Ovis aries: one gene and its partners. The protein of the gene in region 3 purifies or fractionates together with the protein of the main gene of each other region. This does not show direct contact. Links are inferred from orthologs where the notes say so. Each region holds a gene or a part of one and is shown on either strand. Other genes may lie near its edges. The genes, in order: ZC3H18, ACIN1, CAMKV, PNN, PNISR, NOLC1 and SDC2.

Region 1 (4,400 bases), on a different chromosome or scaffold from region 3:
TCTGAGGAAGGGGATGGCTCTTCTCCCTAGAAAAACCTGGACATAAGCAATTTATCTCCCATTTCTGGGAGTTCAAAACCTCCCTAGACTGAGAACCACTGCCCTGAGTATGTTGTGTAGTATTCTACCATATGCCCACACTCACCACGCTATACTGCCATTATCGGTTTGCAAAGTCTGTTGGGAGACATCCCCCCCATGAAGGGCGTGAGTGGAAGGACTCAGACTCTCCTCGGTCCTCTGAACTCAGCAAATGCTACCACACAACTTACTGTCTGAACCTGGGGGCACTGCTGACAACTACCACAGGCACGAGTCACAGCCTTCCTAGGCACACCAGGACACACAGTCACCCGCAGGCGGCCCTGACACTCTCCTGGGGAAAGAGACTCACTTTTTCTCTCCCTGTGGAATCTCCTGGGATTTTACAATCTGAGGCTACATCCAGGTGAACAGCTTGCAGAGGAAAACATACCAAAGAACTGACTTATCAGAAGCACCCCGAGTGACATCTTGTTGGGCAGGAGGGGACTACCGCTAGGGGTCAGAATGCAGTTTGTGTTTTAGGCCCACTCTGGGAGAGTTAACTGGTTCTCTGGGCATCAGTGTCCTATTCCAAGATTAATTCAACTTGGCAATTATGTGAGTAAGTGCTATGCGTCAGGAGCCAGGAAAACATGTGGTCTACTGAGTGTACACAGTGAAACACAGGGTCCTCTGGGCACGTCTTCACAACTCCCAGGCTCACAACACTTACTTAGTGTGTTCTTCTCACACAATCACCCTATCGTCAGGCATTCTTGGCAAAGTTTATAACTCTTTAGGCCTTTGATTCACAAGATAGTGAAACTGCCTGGAAAAGAGAGTAACAGTGTCCATCACTGTGTCTCCACAGCGCAGTACACTAGCAGATGGAAATTTACAGATGCTTGTCAAATAAATCACAGAGTCTCCTTGGGTTGTAAATTACCTGTTGCATGCCAGAAAGAAACTTGAAATAAGTGTCTACTTTTTAGAAGACTGTTCTGGAACTGAGACAGAGTGGTGCTGCCTCCTTTTCCAGAGGTCATTCTGGAAGGCTGCACCCCGACTCCAAGGGCACTGCTAAAATACAGAACATTTGGGAACTTTTCTGAGAGAACTTTAGAACATGCAATACAATCCCCGGGCACTCTCAGTGGCAGCAAATCTTCCCTCCCTCAAGGTGGGTCAGCAGAAAGCCATTCAAAGCCTGGTCTGGTTAAGTGAGGTGAGTTCCCAAGCCAGGTAAGACGATTTCGGGTCAAACATGTGGTGTGACTGTTGATTTTTCTCCTATGGCTTGCATATTTACTACCTAAACAGGACTTCTAAAGAGATTCTGGCAAAAAAGCACCAATGAAATACAAGTCTAACCTTCCAGGACAACAATTTTTAATAGAGCTGTCCCTATCTGAATGCCCAAGTTCTGGTACATCTGGTTAAAATTCATGTTCATAACTTCATAGCTTTACAATATCCAAAAGAAGGATGTCAAGACTGGGGATAGACATCATCCCCAAACAGACTAAGCCTGAACCAAACGACTTCTCAGGGAGGAAGCACTCACCTTGAGATGATCTGTGAAAAAGGAAAACACCTCCTTTGCTCTCTGGAATGGTCTCATAAAACTATCTTACCCACCAAAAACTGGAGAGAAATTCTAGCCTCCAGGACATTTGTGACTGGTTTCCAGAGCTGGGTGGGTTCCACACTTGTGCTCAGATTGTAACATCATCAGGCAACAATGCCCCTGCCTGGGAAGCAGGAATTGGCCTGGGTCCAGCTTCACCCTGAGAATCCCAACCTCTGCTCTGGGACAGGACCACTCCACAGGCGACACGAAGGAGAAAGGATGAAAGCCACTGCTATGCCCCTAAACGCACTTTTCTTCCATTCTCCCCAAACGGATCTAAAGACTGACCTGCTCTCACAGATGTAGAGCTGAACAGCTCATATAATATGATCAACCACTCTATCCAGCAAACTCAGCTGTCATAAAGTATTCAGGAAAACTTAAGTTTTAGCAGGAGTAAGGCGGGAAGTTTTTAAGTCTTAGGTTCTCCCAGCAATGACCCGGCATCCTATGGGCTTTCAACCAAAGGGGCACAGGGAAGTTTATTCCAGAGTGGCGTGCGTCTTGGGGCACAGCCAATAGATCCAACCTGTGCCGCCCGGGAAGTCGAGGGAGCAAGTTCCAGGAGGATCCAGAGAGCTCAAAGCTCCCAAAGAGCCTATTCTCAGTCCGGAGGGCGAACTTGCGTGCCTCCTTCCGCACCCCCATCTTTGTGGGCGGAAAGCAGTGCCACGCGAATGTCCCGGAAGAGAAATGACAGCTTCGGGAGACCAACCCCACGACGGAGTGCGGAGGCAGCCGCCAGGCGCTCGAGCTTAGAGGGATTCAGGACCCCCGGCCAGTTCGTCCGGACCGAACCTGGGATCGTGCCTAGCTCAGCGTCCTCTTCCCGGGGCCCGAGAGTCACGCTTCGGCCGGGGGCAGCCTGGAGTGCTCCCCGGAGGCAGAGGCGGCGAGGCTCCGGGCCTCGGCTCAGTGCCGCCGCCACGCTCCTTGCCCGGCCGCCTCGGCCTCTTTCTCCCGCCGGCCAGGCCTCCCAGCCACCACCACCACTTACCTCAGCTCGAGGGCAGAGAGGGGGCCACGGCTTCGCAGGGGTCGGGACGGCGCGGAGAAGGCGTCTTTCGGCCCTTCCGCTGCTCCCAGGCTCCGGCTTCAGGCACGACGCGGGCGGAACAAACGGGCTCCACTAGCCGCGGGGGCCGGCCATTGTGCGACGTCATCAGGCCGCGACGGTTATCTGCGGGCCGGCGGGCTTCCCTCGCTCGCCACGCCCCCCACCTGCTTCCTTCCGGCCTCCGCGCCCCCGCCCCCGTGCGGCCCCGCCCCCTCGGGGCGCGCCCGCCCGAGTCATGGCGCAGGCGCGGCCGGGGCCCCGACCCTAGGGCGGGTCTCAGAGCGCGCGCACCGCCCATCGAGGTGCGAGGAAGGATGTCCGCGGCGCGTGGTCACGTGAAGTACTGGCGCAGGTTCCCGACTAGCCGTCCGCTGTTCCCGCTGTACCCGACCAGGCATAGCTGGGTCCCGCGACGTCACGGCTCAGCGCTTACCTTCTCCAGTCCTGCTGAAGAGCCCCCGGCCTAAAGTTAATCCTTTTCGGGAAATGAGTTTAAATAACAAAACTTAGACCTTTTACATTGCTTACTAGGGACTACATAGCTCCCTCTGTTAAAATATCAGTTCAACACAAAATTAATCATTTTCGAAAACCTGAGTTTAAATGTCAAAGTTTAAACGTTTTAGAAACTATTTCTGTGGTACTAAATAGCTCTTGCTTTATAAAATATAATCAGTCCAACACAAAATTTAATCATTTTTTGATACTGAGTTTAAATGTCAAAGCTTAAAAGTTTTAAGCTAATCCTCATGCGGTTAAAAAGTATCAACAGGTCCAAGATCTAATCACTTAGATGCTAAACCTATCAAGTCTAATTGATATTGCAGCCTCTCCCTAGAGTGGAAATTTAAACCCATTAGTCTGCAACCCAACAGTCTGATCAGCACTAGGGAGATGACCTGTATATGACCCCTCCCCTTCCTAAAGTAAGGCACCCTTGTAGGAGCAACCTACCCTCTTAGCTTCCTTTTCCCACCCTCTGTGCCCATAAAGACCCAGTTCTCCCCAGTCAGTCTCTCCCATCAGGAAGTTTCCATAAGCCTCTTATCCTTATCCCTCAGAGGGCAAACAGGATGAAAACCACAAACACAGAAAACTAACCAAACTGATCAAATGGACCACAGCCTTGTCTAATGCAATGAAACTATGAGCCATGCTGTGTAGGGCCACCCGAGATGGACGGGTCGTGGTGGAGAGCTCTGATAAAACATGGTCCACTGGAGAAGGCAATGGCAAGCAACTTCAGAGTTCTTGCCTTGAGAACCCCATGAACAGTATGAAAAGGCAAAAAGATATGACACTGAAAGATGAACTCCCCAGGTCCGTAGGTGCCCAATATACTACTGGAAATCAGTGGAGAAATAACTCCAGAGAGAATGAAGAGACAGAGCCAAAGCAAAAACAACACGTTTGTGGATGTGACTAGTGATGGAAGTAAAGTCTAATGCCGTAAAGAACAACATTGCATAGGAACCTGGAATGTCAGGTCTATGAATCAAGGTAAACTGGAAGTGGTTGAATAGCAGATGGCAAGAGACATCAACCTTTAGGAATCAGTGAATTAAAATGGACAGAAATGGGTGAATTTAACTCAGATGACCATTTTATTTACTAATGTGGGCAAGAATCCATTAGAAGAAATGGAGTAGCCCTAAATCGGTCAACAAAAGAGTCCAAAATGCAGTACTT
Region 2 (4,141 bases), on a different chromosome or scaffold from region 3:
AAGCTGCACACCGTTGCACTAACAAAGACCTGGATTTTTCCTTTAAGTGCGTGGCACACTATAATGAGGAAATGGTAAAGCTGAAAAGAATCTTAAGAGACTACATAGTCTAACATAAAAAAAAAAACTGGGAATGGTTTCTTTCAAAGAAATCTTATGCAGAAACTCAATGCTATTCTAGCTTAGGGGGGAAATGTGAACTGCTGCTCACTTGGAAAGAAATTTCCTGTGGGAAGCCTCCAAAAGCATCTCCACAAAATCTCAGCAGTTATAAAACTATCGATCTAGTTCAACCTTTTCTCATCTCGGATACAGGGAAACTGAGGAAATCAAGGTCTCCAAAGGTTAAGTTTCTTGCTGCAAGTAACAATGCTCAGGAATGACTCCATAGTTAATATTAACACTGATAATGGTGGATGATCCCCAAAGGATTGATTTCTTGGAAAATTTATGTCAACACAAGAATTCTTCTTGGATCAGGAGGTATTTTCCTATACTGCCATGGTGACTGTCTACTTCATATCTACAAGGACATCAACTACTTCTCTCAAATCAATGTCAAATAAATGACTTCAGACCCTTGCACTCCACTTAATCAACTGGAACCACATCTTTCTGCACACACCATTTCAAGAATCAAAAATTAACTTAGAGCTCTTCTGATTCTTGACTTCTTTATTAGAATTCAATTGTCCCAGTAGGAAAACATTTTCAACCCAAGGAACTTAGGAAAATACTGGTGAGAAACCAAGCGCCAAACATACAACATCATGTCCTTCCCTGTCTCTGTGCATTCAGAGTTCACCCCGGTAATGAATCTTCTTTCTTACCTGGGAATTTGGCTGGAATGCAGCATGCGGGGTTGAGTGTTTTTGTAAATTTTCTAGCATTAGAGCCTGGTATAGAGAAGGGCAAAAGTCAGAAACCAGGAAAAACAAAAGCAAAAAATACCCCTCCCCCAATCTCTTCATCAAATGCAATGACTAACCATACACACTTAAACTGTACTTTTCCAAGGACCTAAATGCCCTTTACTAATACTGTTCTCATTCTTCAGAAGACCCTTAAAGGTAGCCATGGTTACTGCTACCAAATGTACAGATGTAAAATGCAGGCATATTGAAGAAATCTGGCTATGCAATAAAATCTGACAGTACTACAATCGCTATTGTCTTCTGCACTTCTGACTAGTGTTCCTTCTAAATCTGGCCCTTCACTTCAAATACTCAAACCAGGTTCAAACACATGAAACCATGATTTTGTCCTCAGTGAATTATTTGATCAGTTACCCAGATTAGATCTACTCAAATGAACTTGTATTGTTTCCAAAAGAGTGGCAACTAGATTTACCAAATTTATAAACACACACACACGAAACTGTCAGCTTCAGTATAAGCAACGGTCTGCCAACTTAACCCTTGAGCCAACCCAGCCCAAAACCGTACTGAGTGAGTGAGTGAGTGAAGTCGCTCAGTCGTGTCCGACTCTTTGCGACCCCGTGGACTGCAGCCTACCAGGCTCCTCTGTCTATGGGATTCTCCAGGCAAGAATACTGGAGTGGGTTACCATTTCCTTCTCCAGGGGAATCTTCCCGACCCAGGGATCGAACCCGGGTCTCCCGCATTGGAGGCAGACGCTTTAACCTCTGAGCCACCAGGGAAGCCCCCAAAACCGTACTAGTGGTCACGTATCCTAACTAACGCAAATCAAAATCAAGAGATCCTCACCTTCCCTCCATTTACACCAAATAAACACACCAATTCATCCGTCTACCTCTTGGCAATCCCACCCTAATCTACTTAAGCAGATTCAAAATCCCCAATACATACCAGCCCACCTCACCTCTCTCATCAATATTCACCAAACTCTTATCCACCCAAATTGCTTCAGGATGCCCTATAAAATATACACTTCTGGCTAACCAAGTCCCTTCAAATCAAGGCTTCTCTTCATCTCACCTCCTAATCTAGTCAAGCAGACATTTTTGCCCTACCCCAATTCTATTCATTCGGATACCAATAACCAACCCCATCAACCCCTCCGGCCAACTATACCCCTAACTCCGACCCAGCCCAACTCGCCCCCCTCAGGCCAGCAACGCCGGTGGTTGTAGTGGGATTTAACTCCTTCTGCAGCGCATGCGCCGAAACCACAGACACAAACAAGGAGGGGGTGGGGGAACGAGGAAGGAGCTTAAGACACTCCAGGAGAGTAGCGCGCACCCTCCCATTTTGGGCTCGCGCCGCTACCGTTAAGGCGGGAACCGGCGCTATTTCTACTCCAGCGCGAGCCTCGCCAACCACCGTGCGCGCGGATCCGGAGGCTCGCGCTGGCGGCCTGAGCTCGCTCGCGCCGAGCCCGGACACTGCGCCTGCGCCGCGGCAGAGACTCGGCTCTACCGGGTCCGCTTCCCTCCGACACCCCGGCAACGCCGTCTCCTCACCCCTTTGAGCCGCTTGACCAGGGCACTCTTCTGCCCGCTCTTGGCTAGGCCTCGCTGCTCCAGTGCGGCCTTCAGGTCGGTCACCCGCAGCGCCTGAAGAGGCTTCCCGTCCAGAGTCACCTCCTCCAGCTCCGCCATCTTGCGTGAGGTACTCGGGTCCGTCCCGACGGCTTCGGGCATCTTCGGTAATTTCCGCCAACGCCCTTCGAACGTACCGAGTTGGCCCCGCCCACTGCCATAGTCAACCCCTCGATTACCACTCAGAACTCCCCGGGTTCCTCCGGAAGTGCTCGGGTGTTTCCGTCTGCACATCGGCACCAATTGGTTCTTTCCAGCCTCCCAGCCTCTCCCCGCCTCCCGCATCCTGCTTTCAGAGCTCGGTTCTCTTCGTCTTACCGAGGTTTTGAATCGAATCCGTTCGGAAGCTGTCGACTCTGGCCTAGCCATAATCGGAATTTTTCGGCTATCTCCGGCCCTAAGGCTGAGGCGCTGTGGAACTTGGGTGTTTGGGGCGGGTCCGGGGCCGGAAGTGCGTGGGCTGCCGGGTTGGCCCTCCTTAGGGTTTTCAGGAAACATGGAAGCGGCCGCGATAGTTGGAGTCTAAACCCTGTTGTGGCGGTCTCCGGGTGCCCTGTGAGAGAAAAGGGGAGGTAAGCGGGGTAGAAGTACCTCCCTCCTTGGGCTGGGCAAGACTCAGTGTTTGCGTGCTACCCTTAGTGTGGCAAGCCTCCAACTCTTCTACGGATACAGCTACCGCCTCCCATCTTCCGAATCTCCGCCACTCCCATCTAGGGCTGTGTTGCTCTTTGGGACCTCGGAATGCCAGATTCCGTGGCCTCCAAAGTGGAAGGTGGCAGCATAGTGTCTTTGGACCTGGCCTACGAACCAGTTCTTGATCATTGGACTTGAACTTGCCATTGAAGCTATGTCGCAAGACTCGGGAAAAGTTCTCCCTTTCTCTGAATAAGAGAATAATATTCCTTTAGGAAGAATTGCTTCTTGTAGGGCCACTGTGAAAAAGAAACCTCCTTGAGCTGTTTTGGTAGTGAACTGATGGTAATTGCTTCTGGGTTCCTTTGTCAGTAGAAACGCTCCAGCTTAGAACAGAAGAAACACAAACAGTAAAATATGTCGTAAACAAGTTGTTTTCATCGAGATTCAAACTGTGGAATTTGAGAACTATTCAAGCTGGTTGACCTCCCAACTGCATTAATGATGCTAAGGCCGGTCATCAACAGGTATTCTATTAAACACGAAGAAAAGTGTTCATACATGAATTGTCACAGCAGTATAACACTTGCTAGGTCCCTAAGCCAGCAAACCAACTAGACCGTTTTCTCAGTCCTTAAAAAAGAATTGGCTGCTTTTCCTGTTTTTCTTACTCTGTTATCTCATTTTGGACAAGGCACCCTCACTAACTCTGCTCTTCAATTTTTCCTGATGCTTTACAGGAAATATAAGAAAATAATACAGTTATAAAGTTCTTATTTCAGAGGCTACATGCACATTGCAGAGAAGGCTCTTTCACTGTATAAGATTTTCTCTCTCTTTTTTTTTAACCTACTGTTGATAGCTCAGAAAGGATTAGCATCTGGGTCCTGACCAGCTGCTTGGTAAATTAAAAAATGTATACCTTTTTTTCATTTTAGGGAAGATATATTGGACCAGTATTAATCGTTGATTTTTTTCTTTACTCAA
Region 3 (4,406 bases):
CCCCCTCCCCTTCCCTGCTGTCTACTTTCAGGGACCAGAGCTGGGTTTCCTGCTGTAATCCACATGCCTTGGTCTGAGCTCTGCCCAGCGTGAGGCAGACATTTCATCCACAGGATGGGTAGAAATAGAGACCTCGCTCTCAGGTCTGTGTCAGGAGGCAGAGTCAAGTTTCTCGTCCACCATCCAGCTGCTTTAGGTAACTGGGAAGGGGCCTGCCCTGGCTGGGCCTTGGTCACTAGTTCCGGCTGCTGACTATCTCCCATCTAATTAGAGCGCATGCGGGGTTGGGGAGAAGGCTCTCCAGTCTTGGGGTGGGCATACAATCCAGTGCTGTCTCCAGAAAGTTCAGCCTTCAAACATGCAGGCTGAGCCAAGAGCCAACTGACCCCTTCCAGGCACCCGGGTTCCAAGCTTTGAGCCCCTGAAGGAAAACCCACTGGCGGCCCCGCTGCCCTTTGAGTGGAGGAGCGGAAATGCTGAGAAGGCCCTGTGAGTATAGGGTTGCTATGGTGATGGAAGTTTTTAAAAGGGGGGAGGGGTAAGGAGAGGTGTTATTCAAACCCCTTCTCCAGGAATTCCCTGAGATTTTTGTCCTGAATGGGTTCTGTGACCCTGGTCTCCATCAGGGAAGAACTGAGAGACTTTAGGAAAGAGAGGGGCAGGGCCACAGAGAGACAAAGGCACAACCTGTGGTGGAAGGGGGGTAAAGAATTCATATAGTAAAAAGGACGCAGGCACAAGGACACAGGAGAAAAGGTGGGCTGGGAGTTTTGAAGGGGCCTATGGATGTCCAGCAGAGCCCTAATGTCTCCATGACCATGTGCTCTGCACACCTGGGCCAGGAGCTGCCCCTGATGCCTGGACCTGCCCCTGATGCCTGGACCTTTGAGACTGACCCCTCCTGTATCCCCCTAGACATGCACTGAACTTGGTGTGGGAAGAGGCCATCTGTTGTGGTCCCCTCGGTCCCAACAGTTCCTCAGCCCCTCTCCCTGTCACCAACGCAGCTTAGGTAAGGCAGTTCCAACATGCCGAAGGCACAGGCGTGGGGGATGGAATGAAGCTTGGAGACCTGGCTACTTCCCTTTGCAGCCCCTCTTGTCAGCTGACCCAGCTCTGCCTGGACGCACCAGCCCCCCCACCCCACCCCCATCTGCTCTTCCCTAGAGGCCTTGGGTCCCCAGGGCCTCTCTGGCAGCTCAGCCTCATTCCCTGCCACGGCTGCCCCCCTCCCCAACAGTGGATTTTGCCTGAAGGCCAGAAACAGCACCCTGAGCAGTCTAGAAACAGGAAAGCAACTGCACAGCATCCTCCCCACCCCACCAACTCTGCCTCAGTTTCCCTGGATGGAGATCACTGACTCTGTGGCCTTCTCCCAGGGCAAGGACTGCCCACCTGCCAGGACAAGGATGGGAGAGGAGGGCCAGCAGCTGATATGGGAAGAGGCAGCTGATACGGGAGGAGGAGGAGGATCCCTACCAAATACTGTAAATGAAAAGGAGAGAGACCTCTGCTCCAGCCCAGGGCCCAGCCTGACAGAGAGGGGAGCGGAGACACCAATTTCTCAGTTGAGGAAAATCGGGCCCAGCAGGTGCCTAAAGCTGACAGGAATTGACTGGGGATGGGGGACAGGGAGGACACCAGGTCCCTGCAGGTGGTCCTTGGGGGGCTCAAAGCCACCCTTGGAGGAGGGTGGCTGGCCAGAAGCTGGACTGCTGCAGACTGAGCTTTTGGTGATGGACAGAGAGCCCTGCTTCCTCGGAGGGAACCTGGTGAAGCAGGCTCTGCCTAGGGGGTGCAGACAAAAGCCGTTTGGCACAGCTATGGGGGGCTGGGAGAGCCTAGGGTCTCTGCCAGACGCTACAGGCGGGGGAAGGCAGACTCACTCTCTCATTGTTCACCCTACCAGCCGGGGGCTCTGCTCCCTAACCGTGCTGCCACCCTGACCCCCTTCCCCAGTGCTGCTGACTCGCCCCCGCTGGCACAGCAACACACATGCGGGAGGCACACGTGTGAGCACCAAGCCCCGCACCTCCCGGCAGAAACATGTGCGTCCCCCCACCCCCACCGCGCAGCGCTGGGTCGGTGTCCTGGACCCTCGGGGAGGCCGCCGAGTTAAGGCTCGGAAGCTGGATCTCGCCTAGGGGGCTGCTGGTCCCCAGGGGCTTGAGCCTCCTCCCCCACCCCGCGGCAGCCCCGCCCAGCCCCCTTCAGGTTGTCGCCCATAAAGAACTCTCGTTGTCATGGAAATTAGTGACTGCTTAGCTGGAGGGAGGGGGGGTCCGGGGGCAGTTGGGAGGGGCTGGAAGCGGCTTTGGGAGTCCAGAGGGACCTCTGAGCCCTCGCCCCCAACCCCCTGGGGCAGCTCAATGTTGGAAGGTTACTGTTTTCACAGGGAGACGAGGGGTGGGATGGGGGACAAGGAGGGGAGATTGGCCTGGACTTGAGTCTCAGAGGCTTCCCTTGGGACCCCCGAGCCGTCTGAGGTGATGGGGAACTTCAGCCCAACCCCGCACGCCCAGCCCTGGATCTGCAGAGCCCGCGTACTCTGCCCCCGCCAGGACCCCAAGCCGTTGCAGCGCCCCCGCGCACTCGGCTACCCAAACCTCGAGCCAGAGACCCAATCCCTTAAGACCTCGCAACGTGCGTTCCGGGGGCCCACCCCTCCCGGCTCACCCCGCACCTGCAGCGCTGGTCGGTCACTGGGAGGATGCGATCGCGGGTTCAGTGGGGGCGCCGAGGGCTACGGGGGCGGCGGGCAGAATCCGCTCCGGGCACGCGGGGCAGACGCGGCGCCAGCTGCAGCCACTTCGGCTCGCGAACCTCCAGCATCTCCCGCCGCTCGCCGGCACCGGATTCGCACCCCGGGCCGGGGGCGGGCTGGGGGCGGGGCCTCTCTCAGCCGGCTCCGCCCGGACCCTGGAGGAGCCAGAGCCCGGAATCCTACTCGAAGAAGGGCTGATGAGGGGTGGCAGCAGAGACGGTGGGCACTGGCCTGCGTGGCCCGGGCCAGGCTCTCGAAGGTTCCCTTAGGCACTCGGACTGACCGGGCGACAGGGACTGGAGGTACCTTATGATGGTCATTGTAGAGGGTGCGGCAGAGTAGAAGGTGTGGGGAGAAAGCCTGAGTCCTGGAACTGCACGGGAGTGTCTTGGCAGGTAGTGGTCTCTAGGGTACTGGCGCTCTGTCCAGCCCCCAAACTGAGTGAAAGGCGCTCAGTCGTGTCCATCTCTTTGCGATTCCATGGACTATAGAATCCATGGAATTCTCCAGGCCAGAATACTGGAGTGGGTAGCCATTCCCTTCTCCAGGGGATCTTCCCAACCCAAGGATCAAACCCAGGTCTCCCGAATTGCAGGCAGATTCTTTACCACCTGAACCCACCAGCTCCCAAAACCTGACCCAAAGAGCAGAACCCACTAAAAGAACCAACTGGGCAGTCGCTAGGGCAAGCTTCACTGTAGACTGGCCTCCCCTAGCTAGTAAACACATGGGGGGGGGGTGTGCATGCAAGCTAGGGCCCCAGACCTTGGTGCCAGTCTCTCTGCCCACCCTTCCGTCCCTTCCTGCCAAGTTAGAGCCTTTCCCATCTCCAAGTCCCAGCCAGGGTGGATGGCCCAGTCTGCCCCCTCCAGTGTGCCTCTGAATTTCTCAAGCTCTGAAAGTTACCAATGATAAGGGTAGACTCTGCATTCTTTCCCATTTAATCACCCTTGAGCACTTCCTGAGCACAATCACCCCTGGTGGCCTGGGCTAGGATACAGGGATACAAGAGAACTTACAGCCCCCAGAAGTCCCAGCAGACCTGCCCCCTTACCTGAGAACCTGCCCCCTGGCTGAGAACTGCCAGGAGGAGGCTCTGCAGCAAGTCCTTGGCCATTTCTCTGTGCCTTGTCATGGATGCAAGTGGACCAAATGCCTGCCATGCCACCCCCCACCCCCACCCAATCCTTAAGGCCAGTGTCTGAAGGCCAGACTTTGGCTTGCCTGGAGCTGGGCCCCACCTCACCCAAACCCTTCTGACCCCATCCTTGGTGGGGTCTTCTCCAAACCTTTGAGTGAGTCTCTCCTGGATGGTTCCCTGTGGCTGCAGTTGTCCAAGTTAGGAAGTTGAAGCTGGGGCTGGGGCTGGAAGTCTAGCCTGGGACATGACCACTTAAACAGGACCCATCAGTATCTTTCTCCTCAGGGGGTGTTGAGGAGCCCTTCACATCCTTCCCTGGCTTGGTCACAGCCTCTCGGCTCCCTGGGCTCTGGGTGGTCTCAGCCACCACACCAACTCCACCACTGGGGAGGACTCTCCTGGCGAGCTGGGCACAGGCCAGAGCCTGTGTCCTGTCTCCGGGTGCTCAGTTCATGTCTGCAGAATGAATGAATGAATGAATGGCCTAGCACTCAGTCCTTC
Region 4 (4,305 bases), on a different chromosome or scaffold from region 3:
AAAGAACCAGTTAATAACAACTTGAGAAAGTTTTAAGTTTTTCCTTAGCTTCATTTTAGGCTGGCAATTAAATCTTTTTCCCTCCTTAGGAAATATCAGTTCATGTTGTGAATTTTGCAATTAAATCTTAAGTTTTTTTTAAACATTTAACACATAATCAACTACTTTGACAGGTTAATAAAGGAAGCAAAAGAAAAACTGCATAAATACCCTTTCGGTAGCAACAGTGGACTCTTGTTTAAATTTCTGAAGGGTGCCCATCAACAAGCCAAATATTCGCCTATTCCTAAAGAAAAGAAAAACAAAATCCAGTTTCAAAACATTCTACTTCATTTAAACCTGCCATGTCCTAAAAGAAGCACAGTATAGACACTTGAACAATTCCTAAAATTTTCTTAAAACTGCATTATTTAACAAGAGTTGTTTTCCTCCAGAAAGATACTTAAGATACCTTTGCTTTCCCTTTTCATCCATATTTTGATCCTGGATAAGGTCTCTGCGCGTGCGCTCTTTGGAGGTAGCTACAACTGAAGACTGCAAAGCTGGCTGCAGGAGAAAAGAAATCTCAGTAATTCAACTAACATACAGGTAGCACTCTACTAAATGTAGTAAGGTGAAAATACTATATTCACCCTCTATGAAGTTCTTTTAATTTCAATTACCTTCTTAACATCATCATCCTCTGGGTCGCTTTCTTGGCGTGATTCTCGTCGAGTCCGACGCTCCCCTCCCAGCCTGACATAGGAAAGGGAATTTTAAAAGGCCAATTCAAACTTTGATCTCCTACAGCTCCCAACCAGGGAGAAGGCAATGGCAGCCCACTCCAGGACTCTTGCCTGGAAAATCCCATGGGCGGAGGAGCCTGGTAGGCTGCAGTCTATGGGGTCGCTAAGAATTAAACACAACTAAGCGGCTTCATTTTCACTTTTGCATTGGAGAAGGAAATGGCAACCCACTCCAGTGTTCCTGCCTGGAGAATCTCAGAGACAGGGGAACCTGATGGGCTGCCGCAGTCGTGTCTGCACAGAGTCAGACACGACTGAAGTGACTTAGCAGCAGCAGCAGCTCTCAACCCAGTTAAGCTTTTGTAGTATAAGACAGGAAAGTAACACAGACAGACAATCTCCTCCATCTTATCTTTCTCCTGACCTTTACTGTGCTTTCTTTTTTTAGTTCTACCAGTTTACTGCTACCAACCCATCTCCCTCCAATCTCTATCATGCATGCGTGCTCAGTCATATAACCCCGTGGACTGCAGCCTGCCAGGCTCCTCTGTCCATGGACTTTTCCAGGCAAAAATATTGGAGTGGGTTGCCATTTCCTTCTCCATGTGCTAAGATTTCTGTTACTGCCATGAAGAACTGAGTTTTGAGGGATACTGGCTATCTCAGTTCAGTCAAATACCAAGTGAAAAGACTCAGAGTAAGTGATATACTACTCAATCCTAATACAACTCAATTCAACAATATTAAATATTTACATTCTACCTCATAAAATAAAGTATGCTTTCAGAATCTTGTCCTCCAACATACCTACTGACTGCCCCTTCAAGGTCTCTCTGTTTGGCTGGGGGTCCTCCTCCACTATCTGAGAATCCACGCCTGCAATAAAAATGTCCAACATAAAGCATATGAAAATTAAGAAAAATGGTTATTTCTATTTAAGAAGATAATTTAGTTGCTGTTATTAAAAACTCCTCTTCCAAATAAAGTAACCTCAAATGGACATTTACTTCAAGATGGATGTTCTTATAGCATTTCTTTTAGATCTATGAGAATATATTAAGTTTGCACATAACTGATATAGTTACCGTATTCTTCAATCTCTAGCTGTATGTAAATTAACCATACAGAGAACTACAGCTAATCACAGCTTCAAATCAAACTTTTCTTAACACTGGCTCTAGCAAGAAATTTGTTTAAACCGATTCATTAATTTAGTACAGTACCAATAGATTAAATTTTAAGGAAATCTTACCTCAGCAATAAACTACCACGTCCTCTACCTCCACCAGGACCAGAAAGGGCGAGCAATCTGGCTTGGATGGGCCTACAAAATAATTTACAAATCAGTTCAACAATCGTTTCTAACAGCACCAAACACTTCAACGGGTGCAGTTCACCATCAAGAGAAAATAAACAGAAAAGTTTCAAGATGACGGTTTCAAACCCGAAACACGGCAATAAGCACTTTACTAACTTCCTCGTTTTCCCAAGACCAGTTTCACAAAATTGTATTTATCTTAACACCACTACACGTTAACAGGCCTGAGTCAGGTTCAAATTTCACCAACCCAAAGAAAGTTGCACGTGGGCAAGAGCCGGAGGGTGAGGCAGCGGACCGCGTCCCCGGAAGGTCCCAGGGCCAGCCCTGAATCGGGTGGCCCGCGAAGGAGGAAGGCTTTGTGCTGCAGTTCCGGGCCTGCGGGGCCGAGGGCGGGAATCGGCAGTCCCGGCCTTCCCACAGGACCGGAGACCATCCCGGCGCACCCAGGCTCCGCTCTCCTTCCTCACGCACCCAAGACCCAGGACTTAACGCTGAAGGCCTTGGAAATTCCCACCTCACCGAGGACAGGGTCCCACGGCTGCCCGCGAACAGGCCTCGATGTTCCAGTCTTCTCAGGGCTGACCGCCCTCCCCGCCCCCAATTCACCCCGGCTTCACGGCCGCCTCTGGTAGCCAGCATTTCCCATCCACTCCTTACCTCACGTCATTCGGATCCCGCCCGGTGAGCTTGCGAATATTCTCATCCACATTCTTTAGGCTCTCTTTGGCCTTTTCTAGCTGCTCCTGCAAAGTTCTCACTGCGACCGCCATCTTCTCCCTGCAGCAGGCTTCGAGACTGCTCTATAGGCCGCGCCTGCCTGTGTCGCGCCGCAAGACGCCAGAAGACTGACAGCTGGGTTCGGCCAATGGCAAAAGGAGTTGTATTTCGGCCTCAACCACTCAGCAACCGGAAGGGGGAGAAACTGCCGGCCTTTGTGACTCTGGGCCAATGAAAAGTGAGGCAGGGGTCTCCTCCTTCCCCAATTAGCTGCGGGTGGCTGGGCTCCGCTTCTAGCGCAGAGCTGGGGCGGGTTTGAGTACCTGGGTCCTCGGAGACGTGGGTTCGCGGCCCAGCTCTTCTGGTGAGGAGAGCGGGGTCTTCCTGGCCCTTTTAACCTGTAGAGAACGTGCCTCTTATGATTTTACCACCTGATACCCTCAGAGTAGGGTTCAAGCGAGTCTATTTCCTCGTCTTCCCCCCAGTAAATGATTTGATTAGGAAAGGGTGCGGCCATTCCGTTGGTGCGCATGCTCAGAGAGGCGGTGGGAGGGGCGCAGACTTCTCTTGATTAGGTTAAACCTTAAAAGAGCGGAGGGAAGAGAGTGAAAGAAAAGTCATTCCTCCTAATAGCTAACAGTTATTTTGTACTCTGTGAAACACTTTACATACATTATCCCCTGCCGGGGGCAGCGTGAGGAATTCCGCCCATGGCAAAGGTCATGAGGAAGGAGGCTTGGCATACGCAAAGGCGTGATCAAGCCTCAGGAAACCCCCTGTTCCCGAGCATCTAACCCCAAAACCAGAGTCGGTTTTATGCTCTCACCTACACCTCTGACTTTACGGGGGGCTCTCCCCCATAACCGTTTCTCTCTGAGAAGGAGTAAACGTGCAGCTCCAAAGCAATAAAAATTCCTGGGCGTGACAAGAGTGTTTCAGCTTACGGACTCCTCTGAAGGTTATCTAGCCCACCTGTATAGGTTCGTCTGGCCACATGTGATTGTCTACAGCCTCCTAACCTGAGAGGCATGAGATGTTTTAGACTTACTAAAGGCAAATCTTTTGGGGAGTTAGAAATTATTAGTATAGTTGGTTAGGAATTATATTGGTGAAGGGTTTTTCATTTGTTGTGTCAATAATTGCTACTAATTCCCTGCTCTGGGTGGGACAGGGATGTCTCAGGTCAAACCTCTCTGCTGACAGACTAGCTTGTGTGACAGGATTATCCTTACTGCTGCCACTAGGCACATGATTGTTTACTACCTCTCAACCATAAACAGCACAGAGTTTTGGAGTATTTTGAGAGTCTTAATTAGCATAGGACTTTTTCTTCTTGTTGAGTCAATGATTGCCACCAGGCCTCCATATCCTTAGGCACTTGGGAATATATTAATCAATGTATTTGGAGTATAGCAAAGGAAATATAGTAGTTTTTGATGTTAGCAATACTAGACTTTTTGAGTTAATGGATGTTCTCTTTTGTAATAGATCACTGTACTTTGTTATATATCACTGTGTCCTTGCTGTGTAAGAATGTAACTT
Region 5 (3,667 bases), on a different chromosome or scaffold from region 3:
ACTACCTAGTCTTCAAGAAGTATTCAAGAAGTCATAAAACTAAGCAGATTAAACAATTTACTTTTATTCCTCATTTTATTTTAAAATTAAGTCCTAAAATTTGGAAAACATAAACAACAAACCTGGTTGCCACATTCTGTTAAAGTTTGAATCCCCTTGGAAATTCCCATGATTATTTGGACCAGACTCCATTGTAGACATATCCTGTCCATTTGGCATCATTCCTGGTGGTTGTTCTACCATGCTTTGTTGTCCTGAAGCTTCTCTTTGGGCAATCCAAGCTTGAGCCAATGCAGCCCAGTCAATCTGGCCTAACAAAATTTAACACAGCAGAATTTGACATTCAGAATGTAGGAGCTAAAAGAACGTGCCTCTATGTAAAAGAAGCATTTGACTTAATCTTTACTAGAGATTTTAAATATTATAGAATGTTATAGTGGAAAAAATGCCTAAAAATAATGCATATGCAGGTTACAAAATGACTTAAGACACTCAGAAAAGGACTTTACAAAATAACCAATTTCTAGTATTACTCCTAAGAAAATGTATTCCCTGTACCTTAGTTCACTGAATTTTTAAACTCTTTTTAAAAATCACTATAAGAACAAATGATTAAACTCACTCTTTCTCAGACAGGTCCCATTCAGGTCTACACTGGATCCTACACACCTCAGGTGAGTATAGCTAGCTATTTCTGTTCCTTCTCAGTCACCTTTGTTTAGCATCTTTAACTCCTTTCTCTAGTCAAAATATATCTCAACAACTTCTTACTCATTTTTATTCAAAATTCATTGTTTCCTCTATCCCCATCAAAAATCTATAGCTTTTACTCATGTGATTAAAGTGACTGGAACTGTACATACATGTGGTACTACCCATGTCCATTTCCTGGTTTTCGTGTTATAACATAAACATGTAAAATGTAACCACTCAAGGAAACAAGATAAAGATTACATGAGAGTCCCTGTAATCCCTTTGCAACTTCCTATAAACTTATAATTATTTCATAATAAAAGTTTTAAAAATCATAAAAAAAAAACTATAGCTAACGTTTTAAGATCTAACAGTATTAATAAAGTAAACAATGTAGACTAAGACACAGGCTTTTACATCTCAGTTTAGCTAAGATTAAATAAATATATTCTCATACATTTTGACAAAGGTGCAGTTAAACTTGGTAATGTATATCTAAAACTTTAAATGTACAACTGTGATCTATCAAACCTATTTCTTAGCTTTTTTTCCTAAGAAAATAACTGGATAAGTAATAATGGTATGTATACAAAATTAGGGGAATGTCTTCAAAAAGTCAAGTCACAATCAATCATCTAAAAGTAGATTTATTACAGTACAGTCCTATAACAGAATGCTCTGTAGCTATTAAAAAAAAAAAGAAATAGGAAAGCATTAACTCAGTAAACACAGGGCAGTAGAAGAGGTCATACCAATTAAGCAAAATTGGCTATGAATTAACGACTGTTAGAACTCAGTAATAAATGGGGGATCCCTATACCCTTTTCTGCATCTATATAAGTTTGAGATACTTCATATTAAAGAGAGGTTTTAAAACTATATAGTATACCATCAGTTGATTATGATCTACACAGAATCTTAAGACTCAGAATTAACAGCAGAAATATGATTAACTTAAGCAACACATTTAAGAAAGACTTTCTTCAGAAAACAAGAACTAAATCAGTTTTAGAAATATGAAATCTATACAAAACTTTCTACCCTTTGAAAAAATATTCCAAAGGGAAATCCATTCCTTGATATGTATGCTAGGTTAAGATGATTCAAGAGAAAAAATTAAAATCCAACCATAAAATGACCCAATAAACCAATTTCAATTCTACCTCCCTTAATCCTTGTGCCTATCTTCCACCCATTTCTATATAACTCCCTACTCTAGTCCCCAAAATTCAATTTGTTTCCTTACTTGGATCCTGCTGGTGCTGGAATGACTGCATCCATTGTTGTTGGTTCAAAGGCCACTGCTGCCAAGGTTGTCCTCCTTGATCCCACATCCTGACTTTTAAAATATATCTGTCTTTCTGTCTTCAAAAAATAGTTTAACAAAGAGAGAATGAGTGTTATTTAATGTTAAAAAAGCTCACACATCAGAAATTATTATATGATTTTACATTTATGTCATCAGAGCTCTAAAATTCTGCTCAAAAGGTTGCCAGAAGCAACTGGAATTTTTTGGTTGGCAAGCAAGAATAGAAAATTTCATGTTAATGCTGGTGTCAAGAGTTTGGAGGAAAGCATAGCTCTAATCCATTTAGCTCAAAGGGGGAAAAATCTAATTTTTCTAATTTTTTCTAATTCTAATTTAATTTAAAATCTCATATAAACCTGTGGAATGTAATTATTTTGAAGATTGTAAGAAAAAAAGGTTTATCTATTTAGCCTCCCATAATCCAAGACTTACTGAAGAGGGTTATCAAATAGTTCTAGTTAATGAAAGAAAACCATGAACGCAGAAGGTAGAATAGATTTAGAAAGCAGTCATACTGTCAAACCTAATAAAAACAGCTGATTCACACAGTCTTAGAAGAAAAGTTGATGGGAAATCAAAAATTCAATGAGACACAATATTATGTCCCCATAATTACTATTTTCACCAAAAATGTTTACCTGAATCCAACTGAGCGAAAGTGAAAGTCACTCAGTCGTGTCTGACTCTGTGACCCCATGGTCTATGCAGTCCATGGAATACTCCAGGCCAGAATACTGGAGTGTGTAGCCTTTCCCTTCTCCAGGGGATCTTTCCAACCCAGGAATCAAACCTAGGTCTCCCACATTGCAGGCGGATTCTTTTCCAGATGAGCTACAAGGGAAGCCTAAAATATTGGAGTGGGTAGCCTTTCCCTTCTCCAGAGGATCTTCCCAGCCCTGGAATGTGGAAGACCTGGGTTTGATTCCTGGGTTGGGAAGATCCCCTGAAGAAGGCAAAGGCTACCCACTCCAATATTCTGGCCTAGAGATTCCATGGACTGTATAGTCCATGGGGTTGCAAAGAGTTGGACACGACTGAGTGACTTTCACTTTCCAGTGTGAAGGAATTACAAGGGGACAAGAGTATTGGCTAAACAGTATCAAAAGAAACAATCAGACAAATCTACAAGGTGAGACAGCCCACAAGACAAGGTTTTTTTTTTGCCACATCATGCAGCTTGTGGGATCTCAGTTCCCTGACCAGGGACTGAACCAATGAAACCTAGAATCCTAACCACTAGGTCACCTGGAACCCCCCAAGACCAGGTTTCTTAATATATAATTAAGATGGAAAAGTAGGGGGGAAAGACATATGTTAATAACTATTAAATCTAGGTGATGAGTACGGGGACAAAACTGTAAACTAGCTTGAAAACTTTCACAGTAAAAAGTTTTAAATGCCTACAAGTCATTTTTATACTTTTTCCAACTCAGATATACAACCCTGTTCAAGAATCAATGACACACATAGTAGGCAGATGTTTCTTCATTTTTGTACCCCAGGCCTTAACATATAGCAGGCATTAAATAAATATTTATTAAATGCATCCTTTCAGACCCTTTCCTCTATTCTAAGAACAAAACTATTTCTTAGTATTGCACAATCACAAAAAGTATGACAGCCACATATTATGGAAGTAATAACTGCTAAGTCACTTCAGTCGTG
Region 6 (4,460 bases), on a different chromosome or scaffold from region 3:
CGCTTTGGAGCCTTGGTGGACCTGCTGAGGCAGATTAGGCTAACTTCTGGGGAACAGGACCTTCTCAAAACAAAGAATACAACCCAGCCTACTCACAGGGAGAAAACTGCCACACTGGCAAAGAGAAGACTTACTTGAGCCAGAAACTATAGATATCCAAGAGGGAAGAGGCGTTGGCATCCTGCTGGGTCTATAAGAGAAAAGACAGAGAAAGCACGGTAAGAAAGTTTTATCCTGGTTATTCTATGGGAGTTCAAATTTTGTGTTACTCTCTCATTAAAAGTCACTTATTTTGTCTGCTCTATCTGATATAAATGTTACATCTCTGAAGGTTTCTCCTACTTGTATAAATTAGGAGAAAAATATTCTATTTATGTATTTCCAAATTTTCGGTAGCAAAAACTTGGGTTATTCCTGTAGTTTCTGGCATCATCTATTCCCCTGCCTATCAATCCTATTTATCAAAGCCTTTAAAAACATGCATTCCATTAAAAACACTGCTTTATTCTAGCAGTGTACTATCCAGGAATTTATCCTTACCCATGAAACAAATACCTACACAGGAAGATATTTGCTGCAACTTGGTTTATAATTCCAAACCACTGGAAATCAACCATCAAGAGAAGATTAGTAAAAATCTATGCTAATTATTCAGGAAAAGGCAATGGCACCCCACTCCAGTACTCTTGCCTGGAAAGTCCCATGGACAGAGGAACCTGGTGAGCTGTAGTCCGTGGGGTCTCGAAGAGTAAGCAGGACATGACTGAGCGACTTCACTTTCACTTTCATGCACTGGAGAAGGAAATGGCAACCCACTCCAGTGTTCTTGCCTGGAGAATCCCAGGGACGGGGGAGCCTGGTGGGCTGCCGTCTCTGGGGTCGCACAGAGTCGGACAGGACTGAAGTGACTTAGCAGCATGCTAATTATTCAGTGCAGAACTGCATTCAGCTGTTAATTACACTGCTTATGAATTATGAGTTGGTGTTCAAAAAAAATGGCAAGGCATTACAGTATATACGAGAGTACAGGCTCAAAGTTAGATGAAATGTGAAACTTACTTCTGCTGGTTAGTAATGTGTGACCCTGAGTAAATCACTTGATCTAATACTGTTTTTCTTCCCTTTAAGATAGATAATACTATAAAGCACTAAGCTGTTGAGAGAATGAGATAATGCACATAAGGGGCTTAGCATCTGGCCCTTAGTATGCCCTCCACAAAGATTAGCTTTTGTCACATAAAAAAGATTTCTGATTCTTTTGAAAGGCCCAATTCCATCCAGCCGGATGTGGAAACACTCTCTGCAGCCTCTAACAGTCAATGCAAAACAGTTCCAATATGAAAGCAGCTCTATCAGATCACATATGGCAGGCCGTCTCAGCTTAAGGAAGCCCTTTGAGGCTGATCTGACTTATAACTTGTGTAACCTGATTCTACCACAAAGAACAAGCTTATCTTCTTAATCAAAGACTAAGACCACTAAGGACTACCATATGAGCTTCCCTGGTGGCTCAGATGGTGAAGAATATGCCTGCAATGCAGGAGACTCAGGTTTGATCCCTGGGTGGGAAAGATCCCCTGGAGAAGGGAATGGCAACCCACTCCGGGATTCTTGCCTGGAGAATCCCACGGACAGAGGAGCCTGGCGGGCTAGAGTCCATGGACTCACAAAGAGTCATACACCACTGAGTGACTAACACTTTCACTTTTAAGGACTACCTCACCACTCCACTCTATCTTCAAGGTGTTTTTTTGTGCAGTCTTGTCTGATCTCTTTGAGATGGAGATTCCAAACCTTTCATATTCCTGGTCATCTTCCTTTTATTTGTTTTTTAAACATCCTAAGGTACCATAGCCAACATAACAACTTCCACTCATTGATGCTTTCTGAGCACCAGGCACTGGTATTGCCACTTTGCATATATCATGTTATTAAAACTCACAAAAATCCTATAAAGTGAATGATGGCATGCTCATAGAAGTAGAAACAGATTCAAAGAGATTAAGCAAGCTGCCTGGATCATACACTTTTAAAGTGGCAGAGACTGTTCCCAAACCTACACTTGTCTGATGCAGGAAGTCAGAAATTCCACAACTGCTTGATGCTCAACCCTGCTTCTACTCCCGTTCATTTTTTTCTTTAGTAACAAAAATCCCAGCTTTCATTAACGGCTTCCCCGTGGCTCAGACAGTAAAGAATCTGCCCGCATGAGGGAGACCCGATTAGAGCTCTGGGTCTGGAAGATCCCCCGAGTAGGGAAAGGCTACCCACTCCAGGATTCTCTCCTGGAGAGGACCCTGGTGAGCTTCTCCATGGGACTGCAGAGTCGGACACGACTCAGCGACTAACTTTCACTTTTTTTCAGTTTTCATTATTTCTAAAGCAATTCTATTTGAGTCCTGGGTAAATTCGTTTGAGAGTTAAACTCAAGTCACGCTTGGCACTACCAGGAGCCTCTAATGCCTCCGGTAGGACCAGGCGCTCCCGCCCGGTCGCACTCTGCTAGCTACGTGACCTAGGCCACGAGGGTCCCACGCTGCCACCGCCTCACCTCTCACCAGAAAAAAGCAAGACTCAGCGCTAAGTAGCCAGACCTCGTGGAAGTGATGCCAAGACTCCAGGCTTTCCACCAACCGCCGAGAGCTCGGCACAAAGACCTGGCAGTCATTAGTCAGGCGGACCCCGCACACTTCCCTACCTGCAGACTTAAGCATGCCAGGGCCCGCAGCCCTGTGGTGATCCCACCCCAGCCCATGATCCAAGCCCCGGACTCACAGCGCCTGTTGCCTTGACGAATTTATTGGCCACGCTCGAGAGCTGGTTATCTCGCAGAAAGCCGAGCACGAGGGGATACAGGTCGCTGGGAACCACGCGGCGTAAGCCGGCGTCCGCCATCCTCCGGGTAATACGCGTCACTACCGTCGCGGACGCACACGACTCAAGAAACCGGAAGAGGCGGCCTAGGGGCGGACCCACGCAACGTCCTCGCGCTGCGCGGGACACGCCGGAAGGGGCGGGCGCACTCTCGGAGACAGGGTAAAGGCGAAATCCATGGACGCTTTCCGGTCCCACGAGTGTCGCCATCTTGGAAAGGCGGAGCCCGCCGTTCTGCTTTGTGAAGGCGGAGCCCTTACGTCAGAGGTCACGCCTTTGGTGGCGGCGGGAAAGCTTCGGACTTCCCGCGCCTTGCCTTCCTGCTGGAGCCACCTTTCTCAGTGCAGCGGTTACCCGTAGCATTCAGATATCAGAGTAAGGCGTGGGTCGGCGGGCCTGAGCTGACCTTGAGTTTTCTAAACTTGGTCACATATCCCACCGTCCCCTATTTGCGCTGCCAGTGGATTCCCACTCTTCCCCATCTTCACTTCAACACCCTGGAAGGCCCTTTCTCAAAATACCACCCCAACCTCTGCACTCCCAACTCCATTACCGAGGGCCCTTCAGATTATCTGTGGTAGTGGTGAGGTATTGATCTTCAAAACTGTCCACCTCAATCTTGACTTGCCCATGAGACAACTCTACCCTCCCTTATTTACACAGCTTCACGTCAGCTTCATGAAGAGAAAAAGGGGATGTGCAATAAACCCGAGCGACAGCAGCAATCTCTTCAAACGGATAATCCTGAAAATAACCCTTCTACTTCCTGGGTCACAGTCCACACTATGAATCCTCCCCGTGGAAGAACTAGAAAACCCCTCAACTGCCTCTGTCATGAGTACTCAAATTTATCAATGCCCAGGCCTATTAAGTTAATTTCAGGTTCTCCATATTTCAGTTCACATTAGCAGATAGCAATCCCTACAATCCTGTCTACTAGCCCTAGACTATTTCTCCTTCATGCCCCTCAGGGAGGTAAGGGTTCACTTTCTCAAAGGATACACTTCTTTGCCTTTCTCAAAATAGGCATTCCCCTGTCCTTGGTATAATTCCTGTATGTCCCTCTTTCCTAAAGGTCTATTCACTTGCATGCATTCTTTAAACATCTGAGCACCTGCTGAATGCCAAGCATTGTGCTCACGCAATGGTACACACAAGCCTCAGTTTCAAAAACCTTTATTTACAACAGGTGTGAACTTCCTCTGGGTCCCTGATATTCAAATTCCTTCCCAGACCAATAGCACCACGCTTGTTGGAAATGCAGAATCTCAAGGCCCACCCCATAACTCAGAATCCGCATTTTTAAAAGATCTCCAAATTTAGCTACCCTTTCAAAGTCTGAGAAGCACTGCCCTAGATGACTGATTTCACCTACAAGACTCTTGAAGAGCAGTTTCAAGTCCAATAGGATTCTGCACCTAACTGAAGAGGGGTCCTAGGAATCAAATGGAAGTAAGAATGTCCCTGTTGGGTTCAGAGAGGAAACATGACTTCTGTGGCACCAGCACCATAGAAAAAAGCACAACAGCACTTGGCAGTTCTCTCTAGTTCATGTTTATTAGTCTGCCTCAACCCCATCCATCTTA
Region 7 (3,667 bases), on a different chromosome or scaffold from region 3:
ATGTGAACAATTCTCAAGTGTTATTTTTGTAAAAAGGCAAAATGAACAAACAAAAAGACATAGTGCCAGTTGGAAGTCAGTGGTTAGTCCTTACCGCACAGATACTGGGCCAGCCCCTGGGGGTGTTGGGATTTTGTTAGACACTCTTGTGGGGAGCCAATCAAATGCAGTCCCTCAGCCATAGGAAGCTTGTGATAAGTGCAGTCTTAGGGTAAGACAGGTGGTGCTAAATAAGCAGGTGATGAAGACTCTAATGTGGAAGGAAGCCCTTCTCCAAGGAATGACATTTGTGCTAACGTCTAGAGGTGAGGTTTAGAAATTAACTAGGCAGAGACTTCTGGCCGAAGATCAGGGGACCACAGCTGGAGTCTAGGGGATAACAGGATAAATGATGCTGAAGGAAACTGAAAGAAAGGTAGGCCAGGACCGGACTACACAAGAAGAGGTGGCGGCATTTCATATTCACCTTGAGAGCAGTGGAGTGCCACTGGTACAGTTTTAAACGGGAGAGTGATGGGGTTGCAGCCCGTCTGTGCACAGAGGACTGGAAGGAAATGAGGAAGAAGGGAGGTATGGTGATTATGGAAAGACTGGATGGCGATGGAAGCCCAGGAACCCTAGAAAGGTGTTAAGAGTGGAGACGTAAAAAGAAGGTAAAATCCATAGAACTGGGTATAGATTCAGTGTGGTGGTGAGGAAGAGGGGAGGGAGCCAGAGCTGTGATTTACAGGAACAAAAGGTTCCACTAACTGCCAGATAACATGAGGAGAAAAGACTGCGTTTGTAGAGGGACAGGCAGGGAAATCATGAGTTCTAGTTTTTAAAAATTTTATTGACGTGTAGTTGATTTATAATATCGTATTCATTTCTGCTGTATGACAGTGATTCAGTTGTGTATATTTTTTCAATATTCTTTTCCATTATGGTTTATCACAGGATATTGAATATAGCTCCCTGTGTTATGCAATATGACTTTGTTGTTTATACATTCTATGTATGATAATTTGCGTCTGTTAATCCCAAACTTCCAATCCTTCCCTCCTTACCGCCTCTCCCCTGGCAACCGCAGGTCTGTTTCATGAGTTCTATTTGAACGTGACCGAGATGTATTTACTACCTTTGAGTCATTCATGTGAAAATGCCAAGTAGGCTGGTGGATATGTAGGTCTAAATTTTGGAGGAGTGGTAGAAGGGAACCACTTGGGTTAGTTTGGGTTTCATTTGTATTTAGATGTAACAGAAGCCATGGGTGAGAGAGAAAGTGTAGAGTAAGGTGCAGCCTAGGGCTCAGCCTTAAGGAACTTTTCATATTTTGTGTCCAGGTAGAAGACAATGAATCTGCAAACGAGACTTAGAAATAGCCAGAGAGGTGAGAGGAAAGCCAGGAAGTCAGAGTCATAGAAACCCAAAGGTAGTGCATCAGAAAGGAGGTGAGAGTTGACAAGCGTCCAGTAATACTAGGAGGTTCAATTAGATGAGGACCACTCTGGAAAATGCCACTGGATACAGTACGTGAAGGGGAATGGTGACCTTAAGAAAACAGTGCCAGCAGTGCGATGACCGGGAACAGTTGACTAGGGGGAGTAGAGCAGAGAGTGGAATAGGTGGTGTGGGAAGGAGCTGGTGAGTCTGCACAACCCCACTGAGAAAGTCTGGCTATAAATGGGGGAGGAAGTGCAGCAGCTCACTCACATACAGGGTCGGTGTTCCCTTTTCTTTGTTGTTGTGATGGAAAATGGAAAATATAGCATGTTTCAGCATCAAAGGGAAGCAATCTCTTGAGGAGAGGAGACTGAACACACAAGCAAAAGAAGGGCTACTTGAGGGTCTTCCCTGGTGGTCCAGCAGTTAAGAATCCACCTTGCAACGCAAGGGACATCGGTTCGATCCCTGATTGGGGAACTAAGACCCCACGTGCCATGGAGCTGCTAAACCCATGCACTGCAACCGGAGAGCCCGGGTGCACCAACTGCTGAGCCCACAGGCCACTCCTGGAGAGTCTGTGTGCCACAATGAAACATCCCTCATGCCACAACTAAGACCTGATGCAGCCAAATAAATAAATTGTTTTTAAAAGGGCTACTCGAGAACATTCGGGATAATAATAATATAGAAAAAAACGCCAGACTCCCCACAGATCCACTTTGAAGTCACTTTTTCAGACTCTGAAGACTGCAGGAAGGTTTATGCTAAGTTCCTGAGGAGTAGGTATTGTGAAAAAACATGGCTCTGTCATTATCAACTTTAGACCATGTAGCCAGATACTGTAGAATTCTGTGTCATGACTCATGTGCTTAGCTCATCTTTGCTTATTCTCCCAGGAGCTGATGAGGATGGAGAGAGTCCAGAGCTGACCACGTCTCGGCCCATTCCAAAGATACCATTCACTAGTACTGCTCCGAGAGTGGAAACCACAACACTGAGCAAGATACAGGACAAGATCCCTGCTCAGACAAAGGTGTGTTTTATTTCACATCGCGTCATCAGGTTATGGTCAATGTGCCTTTTTAAAAAATTGTACAGAATGTTCCTTTTAAGAGGCACCTTTTAAAACTGTGTAAGGACAACTGGTCTTTTCATTATATTGTAAATGGCTCCTCCTTATTCTTCATGATCGTTTTGACATTTGCCAGTTACTGTTTTTTTGTTGTTGTTAAATAGGCTTTGTTTTTCAAAGCAGTTTTAGATTCACAGCAGAATTGAGTGGGAAGCACAGAGAGTTCCTGTATACCACCTGCCCCGACACATGTTCAACTGCCCCCCCCCCCACCATCAACATCCTGTAACAGAGAGGTACACTTGTTACAACTGATGAATCCATTCAGTTCAGTTCAGTGGCTCAGTTGTGTCCAATTCTTTGCGACCCCATGGACTGCAGCACGCCAGGCTTCCCTCCTGGAGTTTACTCAAACTCATGTCCATCGCGTCAGTGATGCCATCCAACCATCTCATCCTCTGTCGTCCCCTTCTCCTCCCGCCTTTGATCTTTCCCAGCATCAGGGTCTTTTCCAATGAGTGGTTCTTCGCATCAGATGGCCAAAGTATTGGAGTTTCAGCTTCAGCATCAGTCCTTCCAATGAACATTCAGGACTGATTTCCATTAGGATGGACTGGTTGGATCTCCTTGCAGTCCAAGGGACTCTCAAGAGTCTTCTCCAACACCACAGCTCAAAAGCATCAATTCTTCAGCGCTCAGCTTTCTTTACAGTCCAACTCTCAGATCCATACATGACTACTGGAAAAACCATAGCTTTGACTAGACGGACCTTTGTTGGTAAAACAATGTCTCTGCTTTTTAATATGCTGTCTAGGTTTGTCATAGCTTTTCTTCCAAGGAGGAAGAATCTACATTGGCTGGTCATAATCTCCTAGAATCCAGAGTTTAATTTAGGGTTTGCTCACTGTGATGTATTACCTTGTATGGGTTCTGACACATTTCTAATGGGCATGTATCCACCATTAGTGTAGCCTACCGAATAACTGCACTGTCCTAAAAGTCCTCTCTCCCCTACATGTTTGTTCCTCCTGCCCTCCCAGCCCCTGGAAACCACTGATTTCTTTTTACTGTCTCCGTAGTTTGTGCCTTTCCAAAATGTTGCATAGTTAGACTCACGTAGTGTGTAGTCTTTTCCGATTGGCTTCTTTCACTTAGTAATATGCATTTACA

The links.
Region 1: the proteins of CAMKV (region 3) and ZC3H18 purify together in Homo sapiens (affinity purification with mass spectrometry; 3 studies listed by BioGRID and IntAct, counting the BioPlex papers as one, with this or other methods). This does not show direct contact. The link is inferred for Ovis aries from reciprocal best matches to the Homo sapiens genes CAMKV and ZC3H18.
Region 2: the proteins of CAMKV (region 3) and ACIN1 purify together in Homo sapiens (affinity purification with mass spectrometry; 3 studies listed by BioGRID and IntAct, counting the BioPlex papers as one, with this or other methods). This does not show direct contact. The link is inferred for Ovis aries from reciprocal best matches to the Homo sapiens genes CAMKV and ACIN1.
Region 4: the proteins of CAMKV (region 3) and PNN purify together in Homo sapiens (affinity purification with mass spectrometry; 3 studies listed by BioGRID and IntAct, counting the BioPlex papers as one, with this or other methods). This does not show direct contact. The link is inferred for Ovis aries from reciprocal best matches to the Homo sapiens genes CAMKV and PNN.
Region 5: the proteins of CAMKV (region 3) and PNISR purify together in Homo sapiens (affinity purification with mass spectrometry; 3 studies listed by BioGRID and IntAct, counting the BioPlex papers as one, with this or other methods). This does not show direct contact. The link is inferred for Ovis aries from reciprocal best matches to the Homo sapiens genes CAMKV and PNISR.
Region 6: the proteins of CAMKV (region 3) and NOLC1 purify together in Homo sapiens (affinity purification with mass spectrometry; 3 studies listed by BioGRID and IntAct, counting the BioPlex papers as one, with this or other methods). This does not show direct contact. The link is inferred for Ovis aries from reciprocal best matches to the Homo sapiens genes CAMKV and NOLC1.
Region 7: the proteins of CAMKV (region 3) and SDC2 purify together in Homo sapiens (affinity purification with mass spectrometry; 3 studies listed by BioGRID and IntAct, counting the BioPlex papers as one, with this or other methods). This does not show direct contact. The link is inferred for Ovis aries from reciprocal best matches to the Homo sapiens genes CAMKV and SDC2.

Annotation. Positions count from the first base shown.
Region 1 is NC_056067.1:13,378,889-13,383,288, reverse strand, and holds the start of ZC3H18 (zinc finger CCCH domain-containing protein 18), read right to left. Parts: upstream 2,808-4,400; 5' UTR 2,652-2,807; intron 1-2,651.
Region 2 is NC_056060.1:21,576,761-21,580,901, reverse strand, and holds the start of ACIN1 (apoptotic chromatin condensation inducer in the nucleus), read right to left. Parts: upstream 2,963-4,141; 5' UTR 2,891-2,962; coding exon 2,444-2,890; intron 897-2,443; coding exon 831-896; intron 1-830. Other genes in the region: C7H14orf119 (uncharacterized protein C14orf119 homolog), read left to right, coding at 3,656-3,681.
Region 3 is NC_056072.1:50,432,710-50,437,115, reverse strand, and holds the start of CAMKV (caM kinase-like vesicle-associated protein), read right to left. Parts: upstream 2,836-4,406; 5' UTR 2,684-2,835; intron 1-2,683. UniProt on the Homo sapiens protein: Does not appear to have detectable kinase activity.
Region 4 is NC_056071.1:46,897,177-46,901,481, reverse strand, and holds the start of PNN (pinin), read right to left. Parts: upstream 2,897-4,305; 5' UTR 2,817-2,896; coding exon 2,704-2,816; intron 2,050-2,703; coding exon 1,978-2,049; intron 1,602-1,977; coding exon 1,533-1,601; intron 736-1,532; coding exon 663-735; intron 547-662; coding exon 452-546; intron 287-451; coding exon 211-286; intron 1-210. UniProt on the Homo sapiens protein: Transcriptional activator binding to the E-box 1 core sequence of the E-cadherin promoter gene; the core-binding sequence is 5'CAGGTG-3'. Capable of reversing CTBP1-mediated transcription repression.
Region 5 is NC_056061.1:37,643,491-37,647,157, reverse strand, and holds part of PNISR (arginine/serine-rich protein PNISR), read right to left. Parts: intron 2,059-3,667; exon of another isoform or gene 2,055-2,058; 5' UTR 2,028-2,054; coding exon 1,940-2,027; intron 312-1,939; coding exon 123-311; intron 1-122.
Region 6 is NC_056075.1:22,593,466-22,597,925, reverse strand, and holds the start of NOLC1 (nucleolar and coiled-body phosphoprotein 1), read right to left. Parts: upstream 2,918-4,460; 5' UTR 2,896-2,917; coding exon 2,776-2,895; intron 191-2,775; coding exon 135-190; intron 25-134; coding exon 1-24. UniProt on the Homo sapiens protein: Nucleolar protein that acts as a regulator of RNA polymerase I by connecting RNA polymerase I with enzymes responsible for ribosomal processing and modification.
Region 7 is NC_056062.1:80,505,135-80,508,801, reverse strand, and holds part of SDC2 (syndecan-2), read left to right. Parts: intron 1-2,321; coding exon 2,322-2,458; intron 2,459-3,667. UniProt on the Homo sapiens protein: Cell surface proteoglycan which regulates dendritic arbor morphogenesis.